Linked DNA regions of Mus musculus. The protein of the gene in region 5 interacts with the protein of the main gene of each other region in a pairwise test. Links are inferred from orthologs where the notes say so. Each region holds a gene or a part of one and is shown on either strand. Other genes may lie near its edges. The genes, in order: 2510002D24Rik, Dzip1l, Sall2, Cabp5, Cep76, Ttc21a and Akap7.

What was found.
Region 1: the proteins of Cep76 (region 5) and 2510002D24Rik interact in binary tests that used the Homo sapiens proteins (3 or more experiments, as listed by UniProt). The two-hybrid records come from large-scale screens. The link is inferred for Mus musculus from reciprocal best matches to the Homo sapiens genes CEP76 and C22orf39.
Region 2: the proteins of Cep76 (region 5) and Dzip1l interact in binary tests that used the Homo sapiens proteins (3 or more experiments, as listed by UniProt). The link is inferred for Mus musculus from reciprocal best matches to the Homo sapiens genes CEP76 and DZIP1L.
Region 3: the proteins of Cep76 (region 5) and Sall2 interact in binary tests that used the Homo sapiens proteins (3 or more experiments, as listed by UniProt). The two-hybrid records come from large-scale screens. The link is inferred for Mus musculus from reciprocal best matches to the Homo sapiens genes CEP76 and SALL2.
Region 4: the proteins of Cep76 (region 5) and Cabp5 interact in binary tests that used the Homo sapiens proteins (3 or more experiments, as listed by UniProt). The link is inferred for Mus musculus from reciprocal best matches to the Homo sapiens genes CEP76 and CABP5.
Region 6: the proteins of Cep76 (region 5) and Ttc21a interact in a two-hybrid assay, tested with the Homo sapiens proteins (2 studies listed by BioGRID). The two-hybrid records come from large-scale screens. The link is inferred for Mus musculus from reciprocal best matches to the Homo sapiens genes CEP76 and TTC21A.
Region 7: the proteins of Cep76 (region 5) and Akap7 interact in a two-hybrid assay, tested with the Homo sapiens proteins (3 studies listed by BioGRID). The two-hybrid records come from large-scale screens. The link is inferred for Mus musculus from reciprocal best matches to the Homo sapiens genes CEP76 and AKAP7.

Annotation. Positions count from the first base shown.
Region 1 is NC_000082.6:18,835,414-18,839,379, forward strand, and holds the start of 2510002D24Rik (UPF0545 protein C22orf39 homolog), read left to right. Parts: upstream 1-1,166; 5' UTR 1,167-1,182; coding exon 1,183-1,206; intron 1,207-1,292; coding exon 1,293-1,460; intron 1,461-3,676; coding exon 3,677-3,802; 3' UTR 3,803-3,966. UniProt on the Homo sapiens protein: Negatively regulates long-term potentiation and modulates adult synaptic plasticity. Stabilizes the interaction of RTN4 isoform A/Nogo-A with its receptors, inhibiting clustering of postsynaptic AMPA receptors at synaptic sites.
Region 2 is NC_000075.6:99,664,031-99,667,530, reverse strand, and holds part of Dzip1l (zinc finger protein DZIP1L), read right to left. Parts: exon of another isoform or gene 1,817-3,500; coding exon 1,677-1,816; intron 1-1,676. UniProt on the Homo sapiens protein: Involved in primary cilium formation. Probably acts as a transition zone protein required for localization of PKD1/PC1 and PKD2/PC2 to the ciliary membrane.
Region 3 is NC_000080.6:52,313,524-52,317,760, reverse strand, and holds the start of Sall2 (sal-like protein 2), read left to right. Parts: upstream 1-1,437; 5' UTR 1,438-1,651; coding exon 1,652-1,718; intron 1,719-2,097; coding exon 2,098-4,237. UniProt on the Homo sapiens protein: Probable transcription factor that plays a role in eye development before, during, and after optic fissure closure.
Region 4 is NC_000073.6:13,396,694-13,400,954, reverse strand, and holds the start of Cabp5 (calcium-binding protein 5), read right to left. Parts: upstream 2,801-4,261; 5' UTR 2,648-2,800; coding exon 2,585-2,647; intron 251-2,584; coding exon 220-250; intron 1-219. UniProt on the Homo sapiens protein: Inhibits calcium-dependent inactivation of L-type calcium channel and shifts voltage dependence of activation to more depolarized membrane potentials. Involved in the transmission of light signals.
Region 5 is NC_000084.6:67,627,856-67,631,355, forward strand, and holds part of Cep76 (centrosomal protein of 76 kDa), read right to left. Parts: intron 2,093-3,500; coding exon 1,964-2,092; intron 1-1,963. UniProt on the Homo sapiens protein: Centrosomal protein involved in regulation of centriole duplication. Required to limit centriole duplication to once per cell cycle by preventing centriole reduplication.
Region 6 is NC_000075.6:119,947,606-119,951,105, reverse strand, and holds part of Ttc21a (tetratricopeptide repeat protein 21A), read right to left. Parts: intron 506-3,500; coding exon 408-505; intron 287-407; coding exon 86-286; intron 1-85. UniProt on the Homo sapiens protein: Intraflagellar transport (IFT)-associated protein required for spermatogenesis. Required for sperm flagellar formation and intraflagellar transport.
Region 7 is NC_000076.6:25,294,280-25,298,551, forward strand, and holds the start of Akap7 (A-kinase anchor protein 7), read right to left. Parts: upstream 2,801-4,272; 5' UTR 2,649-2,800; intron 2,458-2,648; exon of another isoform or gene 1,619-2,457; intron 1,613-1,618; exon of another isoform or gene 182-1,612; intron 1-181. UniProt on the Homo sapiens protein: Probably targets cAMP-dependent protein kinase (PKA) to the cellular membrane or cytoskeletal structures.

The DNA.
Region 1 (3,966 bases), on a different chromosome or scaffold from region 5:
CTTGGAGTGGAGCTGGTCAGGCCTAGCAAGGTCCTCATGGAGGGTGCACTTTCCCTCTATGTTTGTAGTTCCAGAGTGTGTCCATTTGCTCTTAGAAATATCCATAAACTTAATTGGCTCCTAACTCTGGCACATACATCATTACTGGCCAAATGTGGCTCTGGAAGGCATAAATGCTGTGGTAACCTGCCCGACCTGTCCTATGGGGCTGTCTCAGTTTCCCTAGCAGTAAGACAGCTTTCATTTGTAGGATTCTGTTAGCTAACTTGGTCAGGCTGGAAAGAGCTCAGTTAAGCACTTGTTCGTGCAGAGGATCCAGGTTTGCTTCCCAGCACTCACATGGTGGCTCATAGCCTGTAATTATAACTGTAACTCCAGTTCCAGATGATCTAAGTATATGTGTTGCACATACATAGTTATACACACAAGTGCACTAATAAAAATGTGACTGCATGTGTAGATAAGAGTACAGTGCTCAGGAGTCCCTTCTGTCGCCTAGAAGGATCAAACTAGGAGGGATCAAACTCGGGTCCTTGGTTCTGTTCACAAGTTTCTCTACAGCTGAGTCATCTCACCTTATGATCTCCAGTTAGGTTTTTTTTTTTTTTTTTAAATTGTTTTTGTTGTTGGGTTTGTTTCCTTTTTGAGACAGGGTCTCACTAATATATATATATATATATATATATATATATATATATATTCCTTTCTGGTCTAGAACTGACTCACTGAGATGTCCCTGCTCTTGTTTCCTGAATGCTGGGATTAAAGGTGTGCAACCCTGAGCCTGTCACTTCTAGGAGAACTTCTTTCACCCTTAGTCATCCTGCACTGCCTTCCTCCTCTCCATACACCAAATCAAGCTCACCTACACTCTGTGTATGCTCAGGCTACATACCTGCAATTTCAGTCCGCCAGGTGGGTTACTCAAGAGTTCAAGAGTCTGTACTTCAAAAACTGAACCACATACGGATTTGAAAAATAAAAAACTGGGAGAACTGACCAGAACTCCTGTTTTTTCCGAATGCTAATTAATACCTTATGTGACTTTGAAGCCAAGCCATCGGCTAGACACCAGGTAGTGTGGCCTCTGACTATCAGCCACTCAGTGCAGACGTCCTGTTTAGTGCGCGTTTGCTTGGAGCTCATTGGTTCATGTCCCTGTCAGTCACACGGGGCCTGGACATGGCGGTCGCAGGGAGCTGGCAGGTGAGTGTGCTTGGCTCCTGGGCTCCTGGGCTGGGTGGGATCAGGCCCTGGGGGCTGCCCGCGCTCTCCGCTGTCTCTCCCCGCAGCCTCCCCGGCCGTGCGAGGTCTACCGCGCCGAGTGGGAGCTCTGCCGCAGCGTCGGGCACGTCCTACACCACTACTACGTCCACGGCAAGCGGCCGGATTGCAGGCAGTGGCTCCGCGACCTGACTAACTGCCGCGAGTGGGAGGAGAGCCGCAGCGCCGAGGCCCAGGTGCGGGCTGGGTGTGGATGTATGCGCAGATCCTTGGGGCAACTCTCTCGTGTTTCTCTCCTGAGTACCAAACTGCGTTATCAACGAGACTTTAGACAGCCTCAGTTACGGGGTGGGGCGGCGCGGGGAGGGGGGCGCAGAAGGAAGGGAAGTATAGAGAGGCTTGGAGAGAGTAACCTTATAGCGTTAGAGTCATCAGCTTGACAGCAAGCTTGCCTTCACCCAGCCCTTGGGGATAGGACGGAGGAAGAGAAAAGCCAACGTGTCTGGAGCACGAGGGTGGGCTATAGAGGGCATAAGAATGAGTCCAAGAGCACCTAAAAATGTTCCAGTACTTGTGAATTGAGTTATCTTTGGCAGGTCAGTCTGGACCTGAGAGTGTGAAGGGTACTGTAGAGGACAGAGACAAGTATGGAGGCTGTTGCTGGACCTTTTCGAGGGAGATGTGAAGAAACCTCTACTTACTCTAGATAGCCATGTAGACATGGCGAAAGTAAAAAACATGGCGGAAAGCAAAAGACTGGAAACTTAACTGTCTGTAACTATATGTCAGCTATCATAAATTAGTGTAAGAAACAAAGATGTTTCTGAATAGAGAAATGGCCAGGGTCATGGAGAAGCAATTCACCGGGAAACTCAGAACACAGAAGCAATTATTTCTTTATTTTATTTTTATTTTTTTTTATTTATTTTTTTTTGTTGTTGTGATTGAGACAGGGTTTTTCTGTATAGCCCTGGCTGTCCTGGAACTCACTGTAGACCAGGCTGGTTTTGAACTCAGAGTTCCGTCTGCCTCTGCCTCCTGAATTCTGGGATTAAAAGCGTGTGCCACAACCACTAGGCTTCTATATAGTTTTTAAAGTACTTTTATTCTTATTTTATGTGTGTTTTTCCTGCATATTTATCTGTACCATGTGAATCTACTGCCTGAGGGTCCTCTGGAACTGTAGTTTCAGATGGTTGTAAGCTGATGTTTGAGTGCTGGGAACCGAATCCCAGTCCTCTGGAAAGCAGCCTCTAACTGCTGAGGGATCTCTCTAGTCCTTACAAGCCTTTTTAAAAAGTCTTTGTGTGTGCGAGTGCGTGGCATGCGTGTGTATATATGTGCACACATTGCATGTAGAGAGACCCTCTGTTGACATTAGGCATCTTCCTCAGTCACTTCCCACCTTATATACTGAGGCAGGATCTCTCTGAACTTGGACGTCTCCATCTCCTGAGTGCTGGGACTACAGGCATTCACCCACATACTAGGCCCCTATTTGCTTCTTTGTTTTGTTTTGTTTTGTTTTGTTTCGAGACAGGGTTTCTCTATATAGCCCTGGCTGTCCTGGAACTCACTCTGTAGACCAGGCTGGCCTGGAACTCAGAAATCCTCCTGCCTCTGCCTCCCAAGTGCTGGGATTAAAGGCGTGTGCCACCACTGCCCGGCTCCTATTTGCTTATTAAGTAATAATGATCATGTGATCATGTTAGAGATGGGGTCTGGCTGTATAGCCCAGGCTGGTTTGGAACTTCAGATCCTTTTGGCTTTGTCTGCCAACTGTTGGGAATACTACCGCTCCCAGTTTAAGAATGTTTGTAAAGAGGCCTACATAGCACCTGACACTTTGCCAGGATCAGCCCTGTCATAATACACTGTCTAGTGTCTGTTGGCAGTGGCTGAAAGAAGCTGGCAGGATGGGGGGCACCTTTTACACATACCCTGTGCAGAGTCCAACAGTAATTTTAGACGCTCTCCCTCTCTTCCCCACCCAGTGTCCTCACTCCCAGGCTAGGCGGGTAACTAGCTCCACACTCTCCAGGTCTGCTGTTGCTGAGGCTTAGCGGGTTTTGCATGGCTGAAGGCAGAGACTGAACATAGTTGTGCATGCTTATAATTGCGGCACTCGGGAGGTGGAGACAACAATCTCAGAATTGAAGGTCATACATAGTGATCTTGAGACCAGCCTGGGCTACTTGAGACCCTGTCTAAAACATGTCCAAAGAACACAAAATAAAACTGCTGAAGTAAGATGACCGGTGTGTGCTAAAACAGAACAGTTGCCAAGGAGTGTGGTATAGAAGCAGCTGAGCCTGTGTGTACCATGTGCTCCCATGTGTTCCTCTCTTCAGAAGAGTGTTGAGGAAGAGGGTGATATAGGTGCCATGCAGCAGTACTAAGAGCCCTAGGATCCAGTGGTGAAACAGTAAGTGACCAAGTCTCATTTGTACAGCGATCCCTCTGTGAGAGCGAGCAGGTTCGGGTCCAGGCTGCTCAGAAGCACACCTTGGTATGGGCCTTGAGGCAAAGGCCCCCTACGGACTGGAACCTCCCTCTACCACAGGAGAAGGACAAGTGATAAGCAACTGCAACCCTACCCTTGACCTAGACTTTGACTGGCTCTTACTTGACCTGGAACACAGAGCAAAGCATTTCCAGCCCTAATTGCCTGCTGCCCACTGGATCTGGGCATTTCATCACTGTAATACTCTGAAAGACACCTGTGTGCACATGCTGGAAGCC
Region 2 (3,500 bases), on a different chromosome or scaffold from region 5:
AGGAGACTCCTTGTCCTGCCTTTTAAACGCCCTGCCTCTGAAAAGCTGCTCCAGAGACTCAGGGCCACTGTGATGGGATACTCTAGTGTCCTACTAACGAGGCCAAGGCAAGCACCTTGGAGCTTCCTGTGACAGACGCTCTGGTTGTTCACGTTTGCATCTAGACCTGGGCGGCATGCATGCTCTCAGTCACCTATTAAGAGTGTTAGACTATTAGTGTTCATTCACAACAGAGGAAGAGGAAGAACTTAGAGATCTTTACATGGGCTCCAAGATGAAACCCACACACAGTATGATGTGTAATAAAAAAGGTATGGGAGTAATATTAAATGCAGATTATTTTTTAACTCCTCACATTCACAGAACTGGAAGCCCAGAGCCTTGAACTCCTGAAGCTCTTGAGAGGCCTTAATTGAAAGGACCCTTCCTTGAAGACTGGAGGTCAGAGCTGCCTGGTAAATACTAAACGTGAGAGGAGATGGTGGAGGAGTGGAATAGCCTAGAATGGGTCTGGGCTGCAGCCAGTGGGAAGACTGAAGTCTGCTGGGGGGGGGGGGGGGGGGGGGGGCTAGGCTACATCCAGACTACAGGGCCCAGGCCAGGAGCTCTCGTCCATGGTTCTCTGTACCTCCACTGGCTGCCTGGGTTTGGACATATGACATTCCACGTATTTCATCCTGGCATGTAAGAAGACAGCATCCGGGGCCTAGACAGCACCTCCATCTGTTTTGCCTATCGCTGCTGTTTCTGAATGGAGGACAGGAGAACTTTACATAAACTCCAAGATTGTGTCATTAAAAGAAAAAAGGAGATAGACAGTGCTATTATAAAACAAAGAGTAGGGGACTAAAGGGGTTGCTCAGTGACAGTCTGCCTAGCAGGTGATAGTGCCATCAATAACACTAAAAAGACAACTGCTCACAACTACTACTACTACTACTACTGTTGTTGTTGTTGTTGTTGTTTGGGGCAACATCATAATCATTTCAAAAATAATAAATAAATAAACCTTTTTGGTTGAAAGACGTGAAGTAAAAAGAATTCTGTTTTTCTACCCTAGAAAATAACAGAGAGTGGCAGCTGTCCCCTGGGAGGGGAAGGGTGGCGAGTCTGGTACTCACAAGAGTGCTAAGTCTGCAATCCCATGGCAGCTACAGCCTGAGGAAGGCCAGGCCCTCGGGGGGTGTAGTGGTGAGACACCGACCCCCTTGAATACTTGGGACAGAGGTCTACACTTCTCCATCTGATGTGCTGTGTGGCACCACTCCGATGCCTGCCCTTGGTGGACAGTGTTTTACATCTAACCCTGTGTCAGGGCCTTCTGTCGAGTGAGGGCCGGGGAGACTTGGGACTATGGAAGAGATAGCACAGGAAGATAGCAACCACAGCAGGAAGGTCCCAGGGAGAGGAGACTAGGACCTGAGCCGCCTCAGGAAGTACTTATATAATGAACCAAAGGGATTTTTTAAACATGGCCACAGGGAAAAAAAAAACCCGAAGTGGTCATCTTTCTATGTATACAGAGACAAAGGAGACAATGTCACATGCAGTGAGTGGCCTTCTCAGGATACATCAGACTGATACTTGGCTCAGTCTTTCCCCAGCCCTCCACTCCAGAGCCCTTAGATTTGGAGCTGGCTCTCCATGGGATGTAGAATTACCTCCAAGCGTCCTACCTGAGACTTCCTTGCTGGTGTGGAAGCCCTCTGGAGGGCAGCGTTGGGCCTTAAGAACATATTGACCCCTCCGGAAGGCTTCTTGGCTGGCGTTTCAAGCTGCTTCTCAAGGTTTTTGACAATTGACTGCACCAGTGTTCCTGGGAAGGGGACAAGGAACCAGGTCAGTGGAGCAAACCTGGAGAGTGAATGCTTAGTCCCTTTGGGCCACACCTAGGCTCCAGTGTGAACGGATGGACAGAGAGAGAGAGAGAGAGAGAGAGAGAGAGAGAGAGAGAGAGAGAGAGAGAGAGTCAAGAGGAAAAAGAAAGGACAAGCCCCTCCCCTCCCCCACAGAGAAAAAAAAATATAGAGATGGTCCAGGCTAATACTAGCCTGGTTTCAAGAGACTTAGATAGACAGACAGACAGACAGACAGACAGGTGATAGAGCAAAACAAACAAACAGACAAAAAAAACCCGCCTTCATCATGTAACTGTGCTGAGTTAGGACGTGGCTGCTGGCGGAGGTTTAGAAAGACCAACCCTCTAATGAATCCAAGGCAGAGCCAGCCTTCCGTTTAATTCCTGTAATTCTGTAATGCATGAACTACAAAGACTGGCATGTCAGGCAATGTGTGATGGCTAACCTTGTCAAGCTGACTGGATTGGAAATGGCCTAGGGAATTAGTAGAGCACACCTCAGGGGCGTGCCTGTGAGACATAGGGCTCCGATCTAATCAGTGGATTAGATTCACTTCCTGTGAATTCCATACAGGAAGCAGGTGTTAACCAGTAACTCGGATTATCAATAGCCACACACACACACACACACACACACTCATGGTAAACCAAGATGATGGAGAAGCATAGCCTGAACTTCACCCAGCTCCCTGGATTCAAACGCTAAGAATCTCTGCAGACTTTTGGAGCTGTTAACAGCCCTTGGATGATTGATCATTGTGGTTCCCGGGGCTGAATGGCCCAGTGGTTAAGAGGGTCTACCTCATTTAACCTGAGCTTGGCTACCACCATCAGTCAGCTCACAACCACCCACAACTCCAGCTTCAAGGATTCCAGCGCCCTCCTTTGGCCTCCACGGGGCCATCTGCATCACTTGCACATACCTGCACACAGACTTGCAACATAGTTAAAAATGAGTCTTTAAAAGACAGAAATGCTTATTAAATTCCTACTCTGTGCCAAGCACCGAGTTCCTCAACCTCCTTATTAGTTGTCTTGTTAAAATATGTCATCTCTTACAACAGAGAAACCAGAATCCTCGAACAAGGCCAAGCAGAGGGTAACACAGCCAAACTGTATCAGTAGACACATGATCTCCCAGCTCCATCATCTTGCCAGCCCGCCCACTAAGGCAGCAAGGCTCCATCCAGAAAACTAACCCTGGTGGCTTCTCACAGGCTGACAGGCTTGGACTATGCAGCGGGCATGAAGCAGCATCTCGGAGTCTACTAAGATAAGGAGGCGCTTACAGACTGCAAACCCCAGGGCTCCCCTCGCTTCTCCTTTGCAATGTCAAAACTGTAAGCGCCCCATTCTCCACCTGGGCGGAGAAACACAGCCTGAAGCAGGAGCATCACTTCCTTTGGTGGGTTTTATAAGCGAACCTTGAAAGGCTGGGGGCAGATGCCATTACTTTGAGAAGAGAAAGGTTCAACTCCTCATCGTGACGCCCTACGAGATAGAGCATGGTAAGTTTAAAGAACAAGTCACTCCAACTACCGGAAAACTCAGCTTCAGTCACTATAAAGCCATTTTCATCAACAGCCGGCATCCTGTTTGTCTCCCAAGCAAATGTCAAACAACATTTTCTTTCCCACACAGA
Region 3 (4,237 bases), on a different chromosome or scaffold from region 5:
CCAAGACCTGAGATCACTTTTTTTTCCATGTAAAAATACGGGATTTGGGGCTGGTGAGATGGCTCAGTGGGTAAGAACACCTGACTGCTCTTCCAAAGGTCCAGTGTTCAAGTCCCAGCAACCACATGGTGGCTCGCAACCATCCGTAACAAGATCTGACGCCCTCTTCTGGTGTGTCTGAAGACAGCTACAGTGTACTTACATATAATAAATAAATCTTACAAAAACAAAAAACAAAAAACGGGATTTTGCCGGGCAGTGGTGGCGCACGCCTTTAGTTCCAGCAATTGGGAGGCAGAGGCAGACGGATTTCTGAGTTCGAGGTCAGCCTGGTCTACAAAGTGAGTTCCAGGACAGCCAGGGCCACACAGAGAAACCCTGTCTTGAAGAAAAAAATAAATAAACAAAGGATTTTAGGAAGTAGGGGACCCTTTAAATCTCAGTTCAAGGAAGAAAAAGAATGCAGAATACCTGGTCTGCGGCACCTTATCCCTACTTACTCCCTCTGAATAAAAGGCAGGGCCCGATGGAGGTGAGCAGGTGTCAGTCTTGTTTAGGAATTGAAATCCGCTTGGGGCCCGTTAGGAGCTTTGGATCCTGAGCTGCAGACAGTGAAAGCCCATTCCGCATCTTCCCCATTGTTTCAGAAGGAGCTCCCCTCCCCCCAGGGTTGGAGCTGGGTGGACCTCCTTAGGCCTTTGTAAGCTAATATCTTATTTAATTGTCCGCATTAGGGACGGGGTGGGTTGGAAAGAGGGTACCGAACCGGAAAGAAGGGCTTTTTTAAAAGTAGGAACTCTGCATTTGGTATATGGCCAGTGGCCTGTGGACTAGCTTGTGTTGAACTCTGGGGGAAGGGCTTGGTGTTCCTCAAGAAGGGGCCCTCAAATGACTCCCTTGGGAATTCTATCTTGCAATCCACCCCCCTCCCCAAACTTCTTTTGTGAAGAGAGATGAGGGTAAGATGGGAGTAGGGGTGAAGAGAAAACTTGAGATCATTCTGCGGTGTGCGAGCTGGTAAGGGGTGGGTGTTTGAGGCTGCTCCTCCCATTCTTGTCCTCCGACCTCTGAGGCGAGCTGAGCACCCTTTGGAATCCACGTTTTCCGAGCTCAGCAGATCCTTTATCCAAAGAAAAATTACTGAAGCCTATCGCCTTAATCTATTGAGCGGGCAATGTTTCCCACTGTGGGCTTGAGGCTGACCCAGTGGAAGCAGCTAGGATAAAGACATCTGGGGTGGGGAGCTGGCAGAGGATAGGGCACAGTGGGCCCCTAAGGTGCCTCACTGACACCTGACCCAGAGCCGGAGTAAAGCTTCCTAGACTTGCCCCCTCCCCGCTTCCCCCCTCCCCCCTCCCCCCCGCACTCTCCGCTCTCGCCTCCTCCAGCTTTCGTCTCCCTCCCTGGCAGCTTCTCCCCCACAAACTCTCCTCCCCCATCTCCCCACTACCAGCTTTCGCGCTCCAGCTCCTCCCCTCCTCCGCGCCTTCTCGCTTCCCTCCCCCCTCCGCCGCTGCTCCCTGCCCCCGCCACTGCCGATCTCCTCCGCAGTCTGGGTCGCTGGGTGCAGAGACTGCCGCAGCGCCGGCGGCCTCCCCAGACCGGATACCCATTGTGTCCTAACCCATCCCGCCTTCCACTTCCCACGGCCATGGCGCAGGAAACCGGGAGCAGCTCTCGACTCGGGGGACCCTGCGGGGAGTCTGCGGAGCGCGGAGGTGCGGTAGGGCCAGGCTTGGGCAGAGATGGGGGCCTAGGGAACACTCGTGTGTAAGGACTTTAAGTGGGCGGATAAAATGTGTGATTCTGCACATAGGCCCCAGGTCTCGCATCCATTCTCACCCTTCCTGGGCCAGAGGAGGGGGAGGGGTAACGGAGGAGGCTGGGAGAGTGCGCGCCCTATCCCCCAACCCCCGTTTTGCTGGGTGTCCAGGAACCACGAGAGTCGGATCTGTCTGAGAGCTAGCTTCCTGCAGGGTCTGACTGTAAGCTTAAATTCCGACCCTAACCGGAGGTTCCTGGGCCGCCCGTTCTTTAGAGCCTCCGTTATCCAACACTGTGGCATTACCCACACTTTTCTCCTTGTCTTCTCCCCAGGTGATGCTAGCGAGGAAGACCACCCCCAAGTCTGTGCCAAATGCTGCGCACAATTCTCTGACCCGACCGAATTCCTCGCTCACCAGAACTCATGTTGCACTGACCCACCGGTAATGGTGATAATTGGAGGCCAGGAGAATCCCAGCAACTCTTCAGCCTCCTCTGCGCCCCGACCAGAGGGCCACAGTAGGTCCCAGGTCATGGATACAGAGCACAGCAATCCCCCAGATTCTGGGTCCTCTGGGGCCCCGGATCCCACTTGGGGGCCAGAGCGGAGGGGAGAGGAATCTTCTGGGCAATTCCTGGTCGCTGCCACAGGTACAGCGGCTGGGGGAGGTGGGGGCCTTATCTTGGCCAGTCCCAAGCTGGGAGCAACCCCATTACCTCCAGAATCCACTCCTGCACCCCCTCCTCCCCCACCTCCCCCTCCCCCTCCAGGTGTAGGCAGTGGCCACTTGAACATTCCTCTGATCTTGGAAGAGTTGCGGGTGCTGCAGCAGCGCCAGATTCACCAGATGCAGATGACTGAACAAATCTGCCGCCAGGTGCTGCTACTTGGCTCCTTGGGGCAGACCGTGGGTGCCCCTGCCAGTCCCTCAGAGCTACCTGGGACAGGGGCTGCCTCTTCCACCAAGCCCCTACTGCCTCTCTTCAGTCCCATCAAGCCAGCGCAAACTGGCAAGACACTGGCATCTTCCTCTTCGTCATCCTCCTCCTCTGGAGCTGAACCGCCTAAGCAGGCTTTCTTCCACCTTTACCATCCACTGGGATCACAGCATCCCTTCTCTGTAGGAGGGGTTGGGCGGAGCCACAAACCCACCCCTGCCCCTTCCCCTGCGCTGCCAGGCAGTACGGATCAGCTGATTGCTTCACCTCATCTGGCATTCCCAGGCACCACCGGACTCCTGGCAGCTCAGTGTCTTGGGGCAGCAAGGGGCCTTGAGGCTGCTGCCTCCCCAGGGCTCCTGAAGCCAAAGAACGGAAGTGGTGAACTGGGCTATGGGGAAGTGATCAGTTCCTTGGAGAAACCCGGTGGAAGGCACAAATGCCGCTTTTGTGCAAAAGTATTCGGCAGTGACAGCGCCCTGCAGATCCACCTTCGTTCCCACACTGGTGAGAGGCCCTATAAGTGCAACGTCTGTGGTAACCGTTTCACAACTCGGGGCAACCTCAAAGTACATTTTCACCGGCATCGTGAGAAGTACCCACATGTGCAAATGAATCCACATCCAGTACCGGAGCACCTAGACTACGTCATCACCAGCAGTGGGCTGCCTTACGGAATGTCTGTGCCACCAGAGAAAGCAGAAGAGGAGGCAGGCACACCAGGCGGAGGTGTTGAACGCAAACCCCTAGTGGCCTCCACCACAGCACTCAGTGCCACAGAGAGCCTGACACTGCTCTCCACTGGCACAAGCACAGCAGTGGCTCCTGGGCTCCCTACTTTCAACAAGTTTGTGCTCATGAAGGCAGTGGAACCCAAGAGTAAAGCGGATGAGAACACGCCCCCAGGGAGTGAGGGCTCCGCCATCGCTGGAGTAGCAGACAGTGGCTCAGCAACCCGAATGCAGCTAAGTAAGCTGGTGACGTCACTACCGAGTTGGGCACTGCTTACTAATCACTTGAAGTCAACTGGAAGTTTCCCCTTCCCTTATGTGCTAGAACCCTTGGGGGCTTCGCCTTCTGAGACCTCAAAGCTGCAGCAGCTAGTAGAAAAGATTGACCGCCAAGGAGCTGTGGCGGTGGCATCTACTGCCTCGGGAGCTCCCACCACTTCTGCCCCTGCACCTTCCTCCTCCGCTTCTGGACCTAACCAGTGTGTGATCTGTCTTCGGGTCCTGAGCTGCCCTCGGGCTCTACGCCTGCATTATGGCCAACATGGAGGTGAGCGGCCCTTCAAGTGTAAAGTGTGTGGCCGAGCTTTCTCCACAAGGGGCAATTTGCGCGCACATTTCGTGGGTCACAAGACCAGTCCAGCTGCCCGGGCTCAGAACTCCTGCCCCATTTGTCAGAAGAAGTTCACTAATGCTGTCACTCTGCAGCAACATGTTCGGATGCACCTGGGGGGCCAGATCCCCAATGGGGGTTCCGCACTTTCTGAAGGTGGGGGAGCTGCCCAGGAAAACAGCTCTGAGCAGTC
Region 4 (4,261 bases), on a different chromosome or scaffold from region 5:
GCATCATTTCCAAGTCCCTGTGACTTATGCAAATGAGACAGACACCTGTCAACACTCAAGGAGTAGAACCTAAAATGACCCAGAATGTGCTGTGCAGATTATATTTGATCAGGGACACAGGAGAAAAGCATTCTTCACATGGGGTAATTTACACAGAAATGCAGGAGAAGAGAGCAGTAATAGGTGACTACATGGAAGGGCATCTGAGAAAGGAATTACCATCAAGCTCATCCTGTCCCAGTGGTCTCTCCTGAAAAGAACACAGGAGAGGATATTGAAAGAGTCAGAAATATAATTCCCACCTCCCAAAAAAACCCCATTGTTCCATCAAGCTTTTTTACCTTCACAGTCTTCCTCTAACTTTCATATTCCTCCCTCTAATACAACTCCCATCCCCAGCTCTTCTCTAATGACCCTTTTCTCCCATCCCCACTCATTTCTTGTCTCCCACCTTTGCATCTTAATCTCCAACTTTCTATCCCAAACATCCTGTGATAAGAACTTTTTCCCCAGATAAAGAAAGTACATTATGTCTCATCTACTGTGTTCAGAGGGATCTCTGTGTGAGTACTGTCATTATACTTATACCTCAGAACCACATCACTGAGGTAGACTCAAATATTCTTATCTTACCCATGAGAAGCTAAAGAATAAAAAGATTTAATGAGCCTACCAAAGGTCACACAGCTCATAAATAGAATATTCCCTTTCAAGGGAGAGATAAATAAATTTGTTCTATTTTCCTTTTATTTATTTGTTTGTTTGTTTAATTGTTTTGAAATGCAAGTACTTGCCAAGTACTTGTGAAGGATCAGAGGACAATTTGAGGCAATTGGTTCTCTCCATACACAAACCTGGAGATAGAACTCATGTAATCAAATTTAGCAACAGGTCCCTTTACCTTCTGATCTATCTCATTGGCCCTTATTTATTTATTCTATTACATATTTATTGAGATAGTTTCATGTAGCCAGGCTAATACCTAAAAAGAACTCCTGATCCTCCTGCCTCCATCTGACAGACACTAGAATTACAGACACAACCCACCACACCTACTTTGTATGGTACTGAAGATTGAATCTAGGGCCTCATATGTGCTAGATAAACTCTACCAACTAAGATACATACTCAGACACTTCAACCTTTAAAACTAAATTTGTTTTATCACCAAAAAACCAGTTTTGCATCATGATGTTGTCACACACCTATGTCATTGTTCTTTGCTGACTTTGGCACCACCACATATAGTACATGTTCCACTCTTTCCAATCCCATTTCTTCCCAAATACAATACCCTCTTCTGCTTTTATGACATGCATACTCCTTTGAAGTCACTCAAAGATCAGATACAGGATTGAGAGTAGGATGTAGAACTCCTGAATGCTATGCCAAATTCTTTCTGCTACATCCCACTGACTCTAGCACCTCCATCCTCATTCCTGGGGTGAGCTTCTCCTGTGTGAAACCAGTTCTCAGAGGGGTTTTCGTAGAATATTCAGTCTTAGTCTTACATATGGGAATTGCTGGTCATTGTTCCCTAATCATGAGTACACCTGAGGGTATGCTTGGTTAGCAGGCATAGTGTCTGGTAATTAACTTCTTATCAACCTTATTCTGGGAGACCTCACTGTGGATTTTCTCTCTTCTTTTCTAACCATGAAATCTCTTACCTTCCCTCATCTCTCTTCCCCTTTTCTCCTTCCCCTATTTTTCCCTTCCATGCCTTGCCTCATCCTGATCTGTGTCCCCTCCTCTTCTCTTCCCTTCTATCTTTTCCCCTTATTCCTTTCACCGCTCCTTTCTTTTTCCCCCTCTCTGGTAATTTTAAGGCCTTACAATGAAGAATATGCTACTGAGACTCAAACATGACTGAATAAGTAAATAAATGAGTGAATTAACAGATAGATAGATAGATAGATAGATAGATAGATAGATAGATAGATAGATAGATAGAGACACATGTTGGCTGTATAGGCGTAAAACAAACTACTTCATGACTTAATGGCCTCAGTTTACAATTTTACTTCCTTGTAAAATAGGAATGAAATTATACCAAACCTCATGTGCTGTTCTGAGGACTGAATGCCATCAAGCACGTAAAGCCTTTTGCACAAGACTGGACAAACAGCAAGACTTAATAAGCAATAGCTATTGTTAATACCATCATCAGCATCATCACCACCATCACCATAATCATCATCAGAAGCAGCAGCACCACCATCACTATCCTCATTGTCATCACCATCCTCATCACCACCGTCAGCACCAGCAATGTCATCACCACCAGCAGAAGCAGCATTACCATTAACACCATCACCATCATCATTGTATGATTTCCCATATGAAACAATGATGCTGTCAACAATGGCTCCATAGCATCTCTCTTTTATGTCTCACTCCACTATACCCCTCTGCTTCTGACTTCTGATCACTGACCCTTATGCCCAAACAGTGCTACCTGAGCTTCAGTTTGTGCTCTCTCCACCTGCTCCCCTTGCTGCTCAGCATTTGCATACCCCTTCTTTTCCCCATGCCCCAGACCCCCTTGATCTTCCTATCATTCTCTGCACCATCCCCACCTCACCCGCTGCTTTTCAGCAATGCCTTTTCTCAAGAAGATGCAGGCAGGACCCATTGGAAACTGCATTGGAGCAGGTAGTGTTCACCAAGCTCTGATGTCAAGATGGCCCCTCCTTCCTACTTCCTTGCAGCAGGCAACCCAGCTTCCTGATTGTCTCAATCCTTTGCCAACTCCTCCTGTTTCTCTTAGCTTCTTCCTCAGTCCCTGTGAGAGATCTGTGACAGCTCATGGAAAATTCTACTTAGACAGTGGAGGGATTAGAGCTCTTCCTACCTCCCATTTATGGCTGGAGTGAGATGGGAGGGGGAGCCAATGTGGGCCTCTGAAACTCTTTTATCCCCAGAATGGAATTGGATAGTACATTTTGAAAGAGGGATTAGGGTGAGGCCTCCAATCATTTTCTGTACCAACAAGCATTTTGAACACTCATCTAAGCCTGACCTTTAGTGAGTGAAAGATTAAAAGGATGAATGTGGTCATCAGCCATGCGCCCAAAGGAACAAGATGCAACAATACTTGATACCAGAAGATCACAGGCACTTGGAGAAACTTATATACTGTTGTTTTTCTAAATAGGTATTTTGCTAAACTGCCTTCTAAATACTTATTTTTATACCTATAAATTAGTTCTGCTTTTGACAATGACTAAAAAAGACTCTCTACAATAGGTAGCTGTCAATACTGAAATAATAATCAGCCAAAGTGCTAAGTATTTGTTGAGTGTCCAGTCCTAAATGGGACATTGCTATCAACCCCTTCCTTAAGACTCAGGAAACATTAAGGAGTGGAGGGGAGTGAAAGAATGGAAGAACCAAAATATGGAAAACATGCTGTGAAATATCGCCTTCTAAACATGACACAGCCATTGCACTCAGACACTCATTGCATCTATGGTTATTTGAACAAGAACAATTGAACAAGATTAGTTAGCAGTGGATTGAGAGAAAGAGACAGAGAGACAGAGACAGAGATACAGAGAGAGAAAAAATATGAAGGTAGAAAGGGAAGCATTGAGAGATGTCAAGAAGGAGTAGGAAAGTGAGTGAGGATATGCTTAGTATACATTATATCCATGTAGGAACTTGCCAAAGAATGAATAAAAAATAAAAAGGAACCACTTGATTTCAGATGTTATGTGACCTCCTAAGGAGACATAAATACATGTTTATTCTACATAAGGCACTTGCAGCCAACCCAAGTCTAACTTTGTGAACCAGTGAGTTCATTCAGGTTGCCAACAGGAATATGAGTGATGGATTATGACCCATCACTAAAAGCCTATCATAGGTAATGACTCATGAATGCTGTATATTTGAAAGTCCCTACACAACCTGCAGGCAGTTCCCCTGAAGAGTGCCCTCACATCTAGAAATTGCTTAATACTTACATAACTTTGGGGAGGAACCCTTGTGAATCATGTAATTTCCCGAGCTGCCTTGGTCTTGTAAGTTTCATGAGCTTCCTGAGGCTCATAGGTTTGATAGTTTCCTGAGACTTATAAACCTACTCCTCTCCAGAAGCAAATTGCTACATAACACTGGATGCTAATACATGAATATGCATAGGATGGAAGCCATGGCAATCATTCATCCTCTGCTCATCTCCTCCCTTTTGCTCCTTCTTGATACTTGTGTGGGAAGAGCAAAGTTGGGTATGTAAGGAGGATGAGAAGCCTTATTA
Region 5 (3,500 bases):
GGGTAGCACTCTAAGAAGGTATGGCCTTGTTGGATGGTGTGACATTGGTGGAGGAAGTGTGGCTCTGAGACTCAGGGGCTCAAGCCAGGCCCAGTGTGGCATTCTCTTCCTGCTGCCTGCCAAGGTAGCGCCCTCAGCTCCTCTCCAGCCCGCATGCTTCCTTCATGTTTCCCATCATGACAATAATAAACTTCTAAAACTGTAAGCCAGCTCCAATTTAATGGGTTCTTTAGCCGGGCAGTGGTGGCATATGCCTTTAATTCCAGCTCTTGGGAGGCAGAGGCAGGTGGATTTCTGAATTAAAGGCCAGCTTGGTCTAGTAAGTTCCAGGACAACCAGGGCTACACAGAGAAACCCTGTCTCGAAATACAACAACAATAAATGTTTTCTTTATAAGAGTTACTATGGGGGGCTGGAGAGATGGCTCAACAGATAAGAGCACTGACTGCTCTTCTAGAGGTCCTGAGTTCAATTCCCAGCATCCACATGGTGGCTCACAGCCATCTGTTATGGGATCTGATGCCCTCTTCTGGTGTGGCTGAAGAGAGTGACAGTATACTCACATACATAAAATAAATAATAAATCTTAAAAAAGATAGAATAGGGTTGGAGAGATAGCTTAATGGTTAAGATCACTGACAGTTCTTCCAGAGGTCCTGAGTTCAATTCCCAGCAACCACAAACCATCTGTAATAGGTTCTGATGACCTCACATACATAAATAAATTAATCTTTAAAAAAAGAAAACAAAAAAACCAGCATTAAGTACCACTTCTATGACTCCGCTTGCTATGAGAGCTGAACAACCCTGGAGCTCATACAAAGGAGGAAGGAAAAGAACCATCTTCAAACTAGCCTTTGACCTTCACACGTGCACGGGGCATGTGCGTGGTCATATATCATTTACACACATTAGTACAAATATACATGAAATATTTTTAAACAATTATAGTAAGTGCAATAATTGTATTGCAAAGTGTATAATCACTATGTCTGAGCCAGTGACCAGAAATGTTTGCAGAATTTGAACTACAAATGAAACCTTGACTTCGGTGCAGTTTCATGCCGATGAACGTATTAGCTTGAAAGTGCCTTTAGTACAGCTGTCCTGCCCTCTGTTGTAGCTTAGAAACACAATACACTAAGGAATATCTGTTGTTTACCTTTGATCTGGTGACACACTGAAGCTGTGGCTGCCTAGCATCAAAAAATTGTACATGCCACACATTACTAGTCTAGAAATCAAAATTTATAGTATAGTTTCTATGGAATATATATAGGTATCACTTCTGAGGAATAGATCAAATAGTTTATATTCACCTCATCATATATATAACACCTACAGTGCTAGATGTTTTTTGACATTAAGTGTCATAGATGATGTCTTAGGGTTTCTATTGCTGTGAAAAGATACCATGACCACAACAACTCGTTTATTTATTTGTTTGTTTGTTTGTTTATCTGAGTAAGCTGTAGCTGTTATCTTCAGACACACCAGAAGAGAGTATCAGATCCAATTACAGGTGGCTGTGAACCACCATGTGGATGCTGGGAATTGAACTCAGACCTCTGGAAAAGCAGTCAGTGCTCTTAACCATTGAGCTATCCCTAGGGAGTTGGAGAGATGGCATCCACATGGTGGCTCACAGTCATCTGTAATGGGATCGGATGCCCTTTTCTTGTCTGAAGACAGTGACAGTGGGCTCATATAAGTAAGTAAATCTTAAAAAAAAACAATAGCAAAAAACTAACATAAATATCCAAATGTTTAATCAAGTATTATGAAAAGGTATATTCCAAGTTAACAAAAACTGTTATGCCACCAACCTACCCAATAAATGATAACTATTTTAGAAATAAACTTTCATTTGTGCAATGAATATATTTTTACAAATGTAAATTAAACATTTATAGCACTACATTTCAAATATAGGGATGAAACTTGTCTAAGATAATTTACAAACCTGGGCAAAAATCTTGACCAGCCTTGAGTTGTGAGAAGGTCGAATTTGCAAATACTCCCTCCACCACTGCTTAGCATAGACGAGAAATAATCGCTCTTTCTCTGCAGTTTTCTGACGTTCCAAGGCAAGCTTGAAATTAAAAAAAATAAATTAATTAACAATTAAATGTCTATAAAATGTCCTCAATTACCAGAACAATCTACTGTTCTCCATTGCTGTTTCTAACTTAACCTGAACTACATACTCTTCTGCAAACAACTCAACATTTCCCGGATTGTATAATTACTTCAATATCCCTAGTCTCCATCCCATCATCCAAACGACTTTTTCCTGCACACGTGGAATTTTTTAAGTAAGGAAACACTTCAGTCACTTCCTACCATCATGAAAACTACCTGTCTAAGCTTATTATCACTCCGGCCCCCGGCTCATTTTCTCTCTCCCATCCACACAAGCCTTTTACTCAAGGATGTTGCACCCACTACCCAAAAAACACAGGCCCAATCTTGGAATTAAATACTAACATTTGTTGCAATTCAGATACGTTTGTACCCTAAAGATGTGACCTAGGTTGGCCTCCCAGTAACCATCCATCACACACCACCCTGCGGAAACTTTTCAATTTAAAACCTGTAACTGGAGTTTTGTTTTGGTTTTATGAGACAGGGCTTCTCTGTGAAGCCTGGCTGTCCTGGAATTCACTTTTAGAGCAGGCGGGCCTTGAACTCAGAGATCCGCCTGTCTCTGCAAGTACTGGGATTAAAGTCATGCACCACCATACCCAGTTTACAGCCAGCATTTTGTTTCCTCACTGTCTCCAGACTCCTACGAATAAGCTGCTATAAATGGAGCATGGGAGCACATGCTTTTAATCCCAGCACTCAGGAGGCAGAGGCGTGGATCTCTGTGAGTTCAAGGCCAGCCTGGTCTAGGAAGTTCCAGGTCAACCAGAACTATATCAACAAAAGACCCTAAAAAAACCTCATATGAATGTGAATATGTGTGGGATGCAGATGCCCAAGGAGGCCATGTGAGTGACTGGACTCCTTGCAGTTGAGAGTTGCAGGTAGCTGCCTCAAGTACATGGTGCTTTGTTTTAGAGATTTGTTTATTTTATGTTCATTACTGTTTTTGCTTTCATGTATGGTTGTGTGAGGAGCCATGTGCCCTGGAACTGTAGTTACAGATAGTTGTGAGCTGCCTTGGGGGTGCTGGGAATTGAACTTGGGTCCTCTGGAAGAGAATCCAGTGCTCTTACTCACTGAGCAATCTCTGCTGGGATGATCTTTGTGTGCAGTGTATAAAGATGGTCTTTAGCCGGGCATGGTGGCACACGCCTTTAATCCCAGCACTTGGGAGGCAGAGGCAGGTAGATTTCTGAGTTCCAGGCCAGCCTGGTCTACAGAGTGAGTTCCAGGACAGCCAGGGCTACACAGAGAAACCCTGTCTCGAAAAACCAAAAAGAAAGATGGTCTTTGTATTTATCAAATGCTGATTTCTGTGCCAAAGAGAGGACTTCAGTATTATTATTCGTATA
Region 6 (3,500 bases), on a different chromosome or scaffold from region 5:
CAGGGAAAGCCCTCACCTCTATCTTCATGTGAGCACCACCTACACCTGTACTTTAGCCCCTGCCATGGAGATTGGTTCCCCTAACCTGCTTGGGGCAGAAATGCAGATACTCCTTGGCGATGCAGACCAGAAAGAGGGGGTCCAGCTTTTCAAAGTACTCGGGGCTCAGGGCCAGACCCTGCATGCTGGAGAAGTGCACTTCCACCGCCTCCTTCAGGAGCGCCGTGGCCTCCTGCTCCAGCCTTTGCTTCTTAGCTGCTACGAGGGCTTGCAGGAAAACCAGCAACTGTGCGAGAGAGGCTTGGGCTCAGGCGAGCTGAGGCTGGCCCCGAGCAGTAAGGTGGGCCACTTTGATGGCCCTCTGCTGGAGACCCCCCTCCCAGCCATCCTTGCCCATTAGCTCTGACCTCAGACTTCCCAAGGGACTGCTGCACCTCCTTGAGGAACTCCAGCTGGTGAGCAGCCTCCTCCAGCTGGCCCTGTAGGATCTGGCACCAGATGCTCCCTATAGATGAACGAGAATGAAGCTGGGCAGGCAGGCAGGCAGGCAGCAGAGCCAGCAGCCCTGCAGAGCGGCAGAGCCAGGGGCAGGACTGAGGAGGAAGGAGGCACCCCAGGCTGTGTCCTCATGTCTTTACAAACTGAAGAGGGGGCAGGGAACGGAAGCAGGAAGACAACAATGATCCCTCATTCATATGTTAGCTTTAAAATCAGCTCCAGTGATAACCACCATTAAGAACTTGGGGCTTAACCCTTCGGACATTTTTCTAAGTATTTGTTATTAATGTACACACAGCTACTCAAAGATCCACATTTGGGGGTCCAGGGTATAGCGTGCACGAAGCCCTGGGTATGTGTGTGCAATGCGCATGAGCATGTCTGCCATGTTGCACTCGTGAGGGTCAGAAGGCAACCAGTGGGAGCCAGTTCTGTCCTTGGTGGGCCCTGGGGACTGAACTCAGGTCATCAGGCTTGCTGGTGGCCACTTTACCCACGCAGCCATCCTGCCTTCCCTGCTAAGAATTGAGACATATCATTCGTTCCAGTCTCAGACACATTCAATCTTACCAGTCCAATGTGACAGGGCGAGCTGGAGGTAGACACAGCTGGTAAGAGCGCTGCGGTTCCGGCAGAGGACCTGAGTCAGGTTCCTAGCACTCACAAGAGGGCTCGAAACTGCCTGCAACCGCAGCTCAGGGGATCCGACACCCTCTTCTGACCCCTGTGGGCACCTGCGCTCCCTCTCCCACTCAGGGGATGAGTTCTAGTCCATATTCTTTTGATTATTAGGGGGAGTGAACATTTTTATAGTTTTTAGTTAGTAACTTTTTATTTTATTTTAATTGTTTTAAAGGTTTATTTATTTAATGTATATGGGTTCACTGTAGCTGTCTTCAGATACACACGAAGGGGGCATCCTATCCCATTACAGATGGTTGTGAGCCACCATATGGTTGCTGGGATTTGAACTCAGGACCTCTGGAAGAGCAGTCAGTGCTCTTAACTGCTGAGCCACTCTCCAGCCAGTTAGTGACTTTAATTAGATTGTGAATTTCCTATTTGCAGCCTCACCCCACCCCCTGCCTTTTGTTTGGGGTGATTTTTTTTTTATGGTGGTGGTGGCAGACACTCTACTAGGCAATGTCCACCAGTTTCTTTTTATATACTAGGGTGATTAACTTATTTTTAATCATTATTATTTTCAAGACGGTGTCTCATGTAAGCCTAGGCTGGCCTCAAACTCTACAGAGCTGAGGGTGATCTTGAACTCACGATCCTCTCCTCCCAGCTGATGGTGCCCTTCACTTCAATCACTGGGAAGTCCCAGGCTTTGGGGCTTGACTTTGCTTCCTAGAGGCCCCCTGATTTGCGTGACCCACTGGACAACCCCTGCCCTGCACACTGCTTGCAGATCCAGAAGTACAAAGACTGAGCCTGGGGTAGTTGGTAGAACTTGCAAGCTCAGGCTGGCACCTCCCCCTGACTTGCCCCTCTGGGTCAGCTGAGATGGGGACTCCAGCAAGTGAAGGGCTGAGCTTGTCCTGGGTCAGATTGGTGTGAGGCAGACTTGTAAGCAGCTGGCTTCCCTCTGGTTCCCTGCCGGGGCCTTCCCTGAAATGAGGAAGCTGGGAAGGAGTCAGTGTGGTGAGTGAATGCCTCAGGAGATCTGCCTGTGTGCTGAGCCGTGCTGAGACTTTCATGGCGGTGATGAGGGGTCCTCTGGGGCAATACTCTCTTCCCTCCAGTTCTCTGTAAGGGTCTCCTTGAATGTTCTCACAATCCACTTCCTGGATATCTGTCCCACTGTGAGCTTTTGCTCTCTGCCTCTGATACCCTGATATTCCCTGGGACTCTTTGGAGAAAGCTGGTCTGCTCATTTTGTTGTTTTCTGAAGACAGGGTCTCTGGGTGGGGAGGATGGTCTTGAACTCAGAATCCTCTGCCTCAGTCTTCAGAGGTCTGGAGTGGCAGACATGGCCACCATGCCCAGCTTTGGTCTTTGGCTGGCTCACCCCTGCCTATGTTGGCTCACAGGTTTCTAGTCATGCTTGGACTTCCCGAGCGTGACACTGTCTGCCTCTGAGGTTCTTGAAACTTCTGGTCTGCTAATGTCACTTTTCCCTTCTAGCACACTTGCAATGGAGTCTTCTTTTAAATTCCCTTGTTTGCTTGCTTGTTTGTTTATCGTGGCCCTGGCTGTTCTGGAGTTCTCTATGTAGACCAGGATGGCCTCAAACTCACAGAGATCTGACTGTCCCTGACTCCCGAGGGCTGGGATTAAAGTCATGTGTCACCACATCCAGCTTGGAGTCATCTTTTAAGAATGCCATCAGGGCTGGCCAGAGTGCTCGGCAGATAAAGGTGCTCGCTGCATAAGCCTGGTGACCTGACTTGGATTCCCTGGGACCGACATAAAGGTGGAAGAAAATCAAAGATGTCCTCTGGTCTCCATATGTGTGCCACGGCATTGTACAAATGCACACTAATAAATAAAATAAAACAAAATCAAATCAAAGCCTTCATGTTCTATGCCTGTAATGCCAACACTGGGGGCAGAGGCGGGAGGGCTGGCTCAAGGCCATTTTCAGCTATATTAAGTTTGAGGTCAGGCCGTACTACAAAAGATCTTCTCTCTAAATAATAGATAGATAGATAGATAGATAGATAGATAGATAGATAGATAGATAGATGGATGGATGGATGGATGGATGGATGGATGGATGGATGGATGGATAGATAGATAGATAGATAGATAGATAGATAGATAGATAGATAGATAGATAGATAGATGATGGAGGAGAGGTGTTGGTGTGAGGGCCTAATGTGCTGACCAGAAAGTTTTAACTGCTCTGATAACTACACTATCTCTCAGGGAGGCCTGAGCTTAGACCAAGGGACCTCAATACTCAGCCCCTCAGGGCTAGCCAAGAACAGTTGCTCCAAGCACTGAGCCAGCTTCCTCCACCCCAAGCAAACCCCAGTGCCCCAGAGAACACAGAG
Region 7 (4,272 bases), on a different chromosome or scaffold from region 5:
ACAGTCGATCTTTAAGATTTAAAGCACAAATTCATTGTTTTGGCTGCTGTAATGTTGCTTAAATAAACTGAGCCTGGTAGCACAGACCTGCAATCCCAGGTACTTAAAGAGTTGAGGCAGAATAATAAATTAAAAAAACAAACAAACCTATACAACTAATTTAGTGAGATTGTTGTCTCACCTGTAAAGTTAACGGAGCTCGGGATCTACCACCATGAGAGAGCTCTTGCTTGCTGCGTACCAGACTGAGATTCAACTCTACAAAGTACATCAAGCTATGTCAAAGTGTGTAAGCCAGGCGTGTTAGGTCACACTTGCAATCCCAGGGAGGCACAGACAGGAAGGTGAAGAGTTCAAGGCTACCCTCAGCCTGAGCCACATGGCACAAAGAATTTTAAAGTCACCCAAAATTTGGTCTGTCACTAAAACAAAGTGTATCATTTCCAAAAATCCAAATAATCACGGGAGTAAAGGTTACACTAATAATGATGACGTGAAGCTGGAAATTAGCAATACTAGAATTACTAGTTTTGCTAATTAGACATTAGCATTACCAGCATTACTAGCCAACATTGTAATGGGTACTTTATGCCAGGCACGCGCACTTTGCTAAGTAACTCATTTAAACCTTAACAACTCTGTTATAGGGAAGACTAGTATTACACCAGGCACCGACTTAGGAACCTGCCCACAAGTAAAGTAGATTCAGGAGCTAACATTCGGATCACGTGAACATGTCACATGACCCACAGTTTCCAGAATCACTCTTTACCATATACTGATGGCAGCACTGTAAACTGAGGCAGGAAGCAATGGGTCAACAGGTGAGAAGCACGGAAGATGGCCTAAATGTCTTACTGAAATCTGGGTTCCTCTCACATACACTCAAACAGGCCTCCTCGCAACCTTGCTTGAAGCAAAGAGAAAAGGGGAACTAATTTAAATGTCTAACAGAGAAACAACTAAACAGTGCATGATCATTCTGGTGACTGAAAACCACCGGTATGAGGAGTCTAACAACAGGGGGAAAGGCGACTCTCTAACAAGCAGATACGCAGTCAAGGTCATGCTGACTTAGCATACACAAAGCCCTAGGCTTTATCCCCAGTGTTACAAAAACAAGCATAAGTCAAAAAGTAGCTAGAAAACTGCATGTTCCCAAGACGTACGGGTAGGAAAGGAAGAATAAAAGCTGAAGTGTTTCTGAATGCCAAATACTTTCCAACCACTGTACTAGGTTGTTTCTAAAGTGAATATTGCTTTTGTAAGAAAAACCATGAATGTATGTAAAGAATCTTCTCAAGCCAAGAAAGTAAATGCATTCAAATCCTCAGATCACAGGGACACTTCAGCAAACACTACCAAAGCCAAGCAAACAGAAAACAAAAAAGACAGACAGACAGACAGACAGACTGCCCAAGTCCTACAAAGTAAGTTTCCTATCTGAACAACAAAACACACCTTCATTGGGCAAGACTCTCTTCTGGTTCCCCAGCACTGTAAACAGCTATGGAATGGGCCTGTCATTCATTACGGTCTATCTACTTCGACTAGCTACGTAAAACAGCAGAGTAGGTCTCCAGAAATGTTTAAACTTCATGCCAACCAGGCCACTTACCCAGTGTGCTTCCATTTGCGCCTCATGAAGAGGGAGCAATCCAAATTATTAAGGAGAAATTGACAAATCGACACTACATGAATGGAAGGACCCAGTAAACTGGACAAGTGCCATAAGCTTTGTCACTATAGGGAAACGATGCGCTAACAGCATCCCAAACTGCAAAGCCACACGGTGTAAAAAGGTGAGAAGAGTCCTCTCTTTCCAACTATTACCCTATTCCCTTCTGCCTATTACCCACACTCCTGTAACCTTATAAAAACATCTCAAGCAGGGACACTCTGGGCATCTCCTCACGTGATACGAGTAATTGCATTCACATGAAATTTATAAACGCATGTACATTATTCACCTGATTTATATTTACATACATATAAAGTATTTACATAGCATGCTTGGACTGCCTATTTTAATATTCTTACGCTTTGTATACATGTAGGTGTTCTTGTAGAACACCTTTTTCCCCTTACTTCCCAGTCCCTTTCCCTCCGAGTCCAACCTCTAATTCCTACCCAGGTTCAGCATACAACGAAAGTTGACCCAAGCTGAAGTACATCCTGGGCGCCAGCAGATTGGCGCCCGTTTTAAAGTGTGCCTTGCCAAGCCTCGAGTAAAACCCTAAATGAGACAAGACAGTGTTCAGAGGCTTCTATTTGCCATTTTAAAAAATAATTAGGTAAATAAAACGGAGTTTTTTTTTTCCCCCCTTGATTTTGTTAACCTCCCCAACACAGTAGGAAAGGATGTGCTGCAAAACTCTGGGTCATGGGTCACAAGATAGGAAGAGGTAAGAGAAACAACAACTTGTGTGTACACCCCTTTCGGTTCGAGGAGTGGAGTGGTGCACGGAGACCCACGGATGCAACCAAACTGCCCGGACTACCGGGCTGGACCGGGATGCCCAGGGTGTAGGGGGAGGGTCGATCGCGAGGGGCGTGGGGCTGCGGGCGGCCTGGGAGGCGGAGCGGGGCGGGCGAGCACGCCCCACGGCAGAGGCCGCCCCGGGGCGCGCAGGGCGGAGCGCTCTCACCCACGGCGGGGCGCTCCATGGTCGCGGCGCAGAGACGGAGGCGCGGGCCCGGGGCGCGCGGGACGGCGGGGGCGCGGGCCGCGGCGGCCAGGCCTGCGGAGGCGCAACGCCCCGCGAGTCGCAGCATCCCCGGCACCCGCCGCTTCAGGAGGAGCCGGAAGGGGCCGGCCCGGCGAGGCGTGGATACCCGGATCGGGGCGGTCCCCGGGGCCGTGCTGGGCTCGGGCTCCGACCTCTGGCCGCCCTCGGTTATTTCCTGCGGCGCGGCCCTTCCCGTCCCACGCTCGGAGGGGCGAGCCAGGGATCCAGAGAGCATTCCTTGGCCCGCTGTCCCTTGAGAACCCGTGTGTTTGCTTTAGCGTGGAGCTTTGGAAACACAGATCTGATTGCAAAATAGGCGGGCTGAGCAAAATGTACAATACAATAGCGAGACCTTGAACGTCGCTATAATGAGATGCTTTTATTTACTTGCCATTACCCCCCCCCCAAAAGTAGCATTTTCAACAGCAGTTTAAGAGCTAAAAGTTGGAATTGTTAAATGAAATCATCTACAAATTTTTTGCAGGCAAGGCTCCTCAGTATCTGAATAAAATAAGAGAAAACTATTTTTTTTAATAGTTAAAATATGAATATGTCTTGTAGAAAAGAATGCTACTGTTTTTTTCCGGGCTGGGGGCAAATGGTGGTATTACTGCTGGTTTGTTGGGGAATGTAATTTTAATTTAAGAAAATATGGTGGTGTGTCTCTTCTCCACAGCTGTAGCCCTTAAAGCTGGTAGGGAACTTTGAAGAATTCCCTGCTTAGCCCCTTTTTGTGGATCTTCACGGAAAACGGTCTTTTTAAAGGAGCAGGCTATCTAATCACAGAGAAAGAACGAAAAATAAGTAAGGGAGCTTGCGGCAAGAGGATCCTCAAAGGCCAGCCGATGCTAGCTGGACTGGACAGGGTACAGATAAGACGTTTAAGCATAAGGATTACTTTACGCAGTAGACAGAGAAACAACTCTTTGCCCTCCCTTTTCCTGCTGGAAGTAGACTATACATTTCTCTTTGTAAGGATTACTCCCCACTCTGTTTTAAAGGTGTATTTATGTAACTGGGGAGTAGGAGCAGTGCACTGACACAGCAAGGTTGACAGCCAGTTTGCAAAGAGTAGAGCACTACCCCCACTCCCCCCTCCTCGGGCTTCACAAAGGACGCTACAGACCTGGGAGACGTGGGTTCTGCACCTCATGTGTGGTCTGATGCTTGGGGGCGAGGTGTCTTCCTTCAGCTCAAGAGCCCACTCCTGGATTTCCCTCCTTTTAAAAACAAAACAAAACCAAAGCGCTGTGTTTCTATTTTAACCACACATCTGTGGTGTAATCCTTAGCCTTGGGATATAACTTCAGTGGAGGAACCAGAACACCAACCCAGCCCCCAAACCTTTCACCTACAATCTACCCTGTCTGAAATAATGTGCTGGGGCAAAGGAGGCAAAGATCTTGGGAGAGTGGCCAACCAGTGACTGCTCTAGTCTGAAGCTCACGCCACAAAAGGAAGCCCATGCTTGATACTACAGCATGACCAGGAACCAGAGGCTGGACAGCCCAGAGACCTTTGATAAGAAAAAGAAAATCGCAAA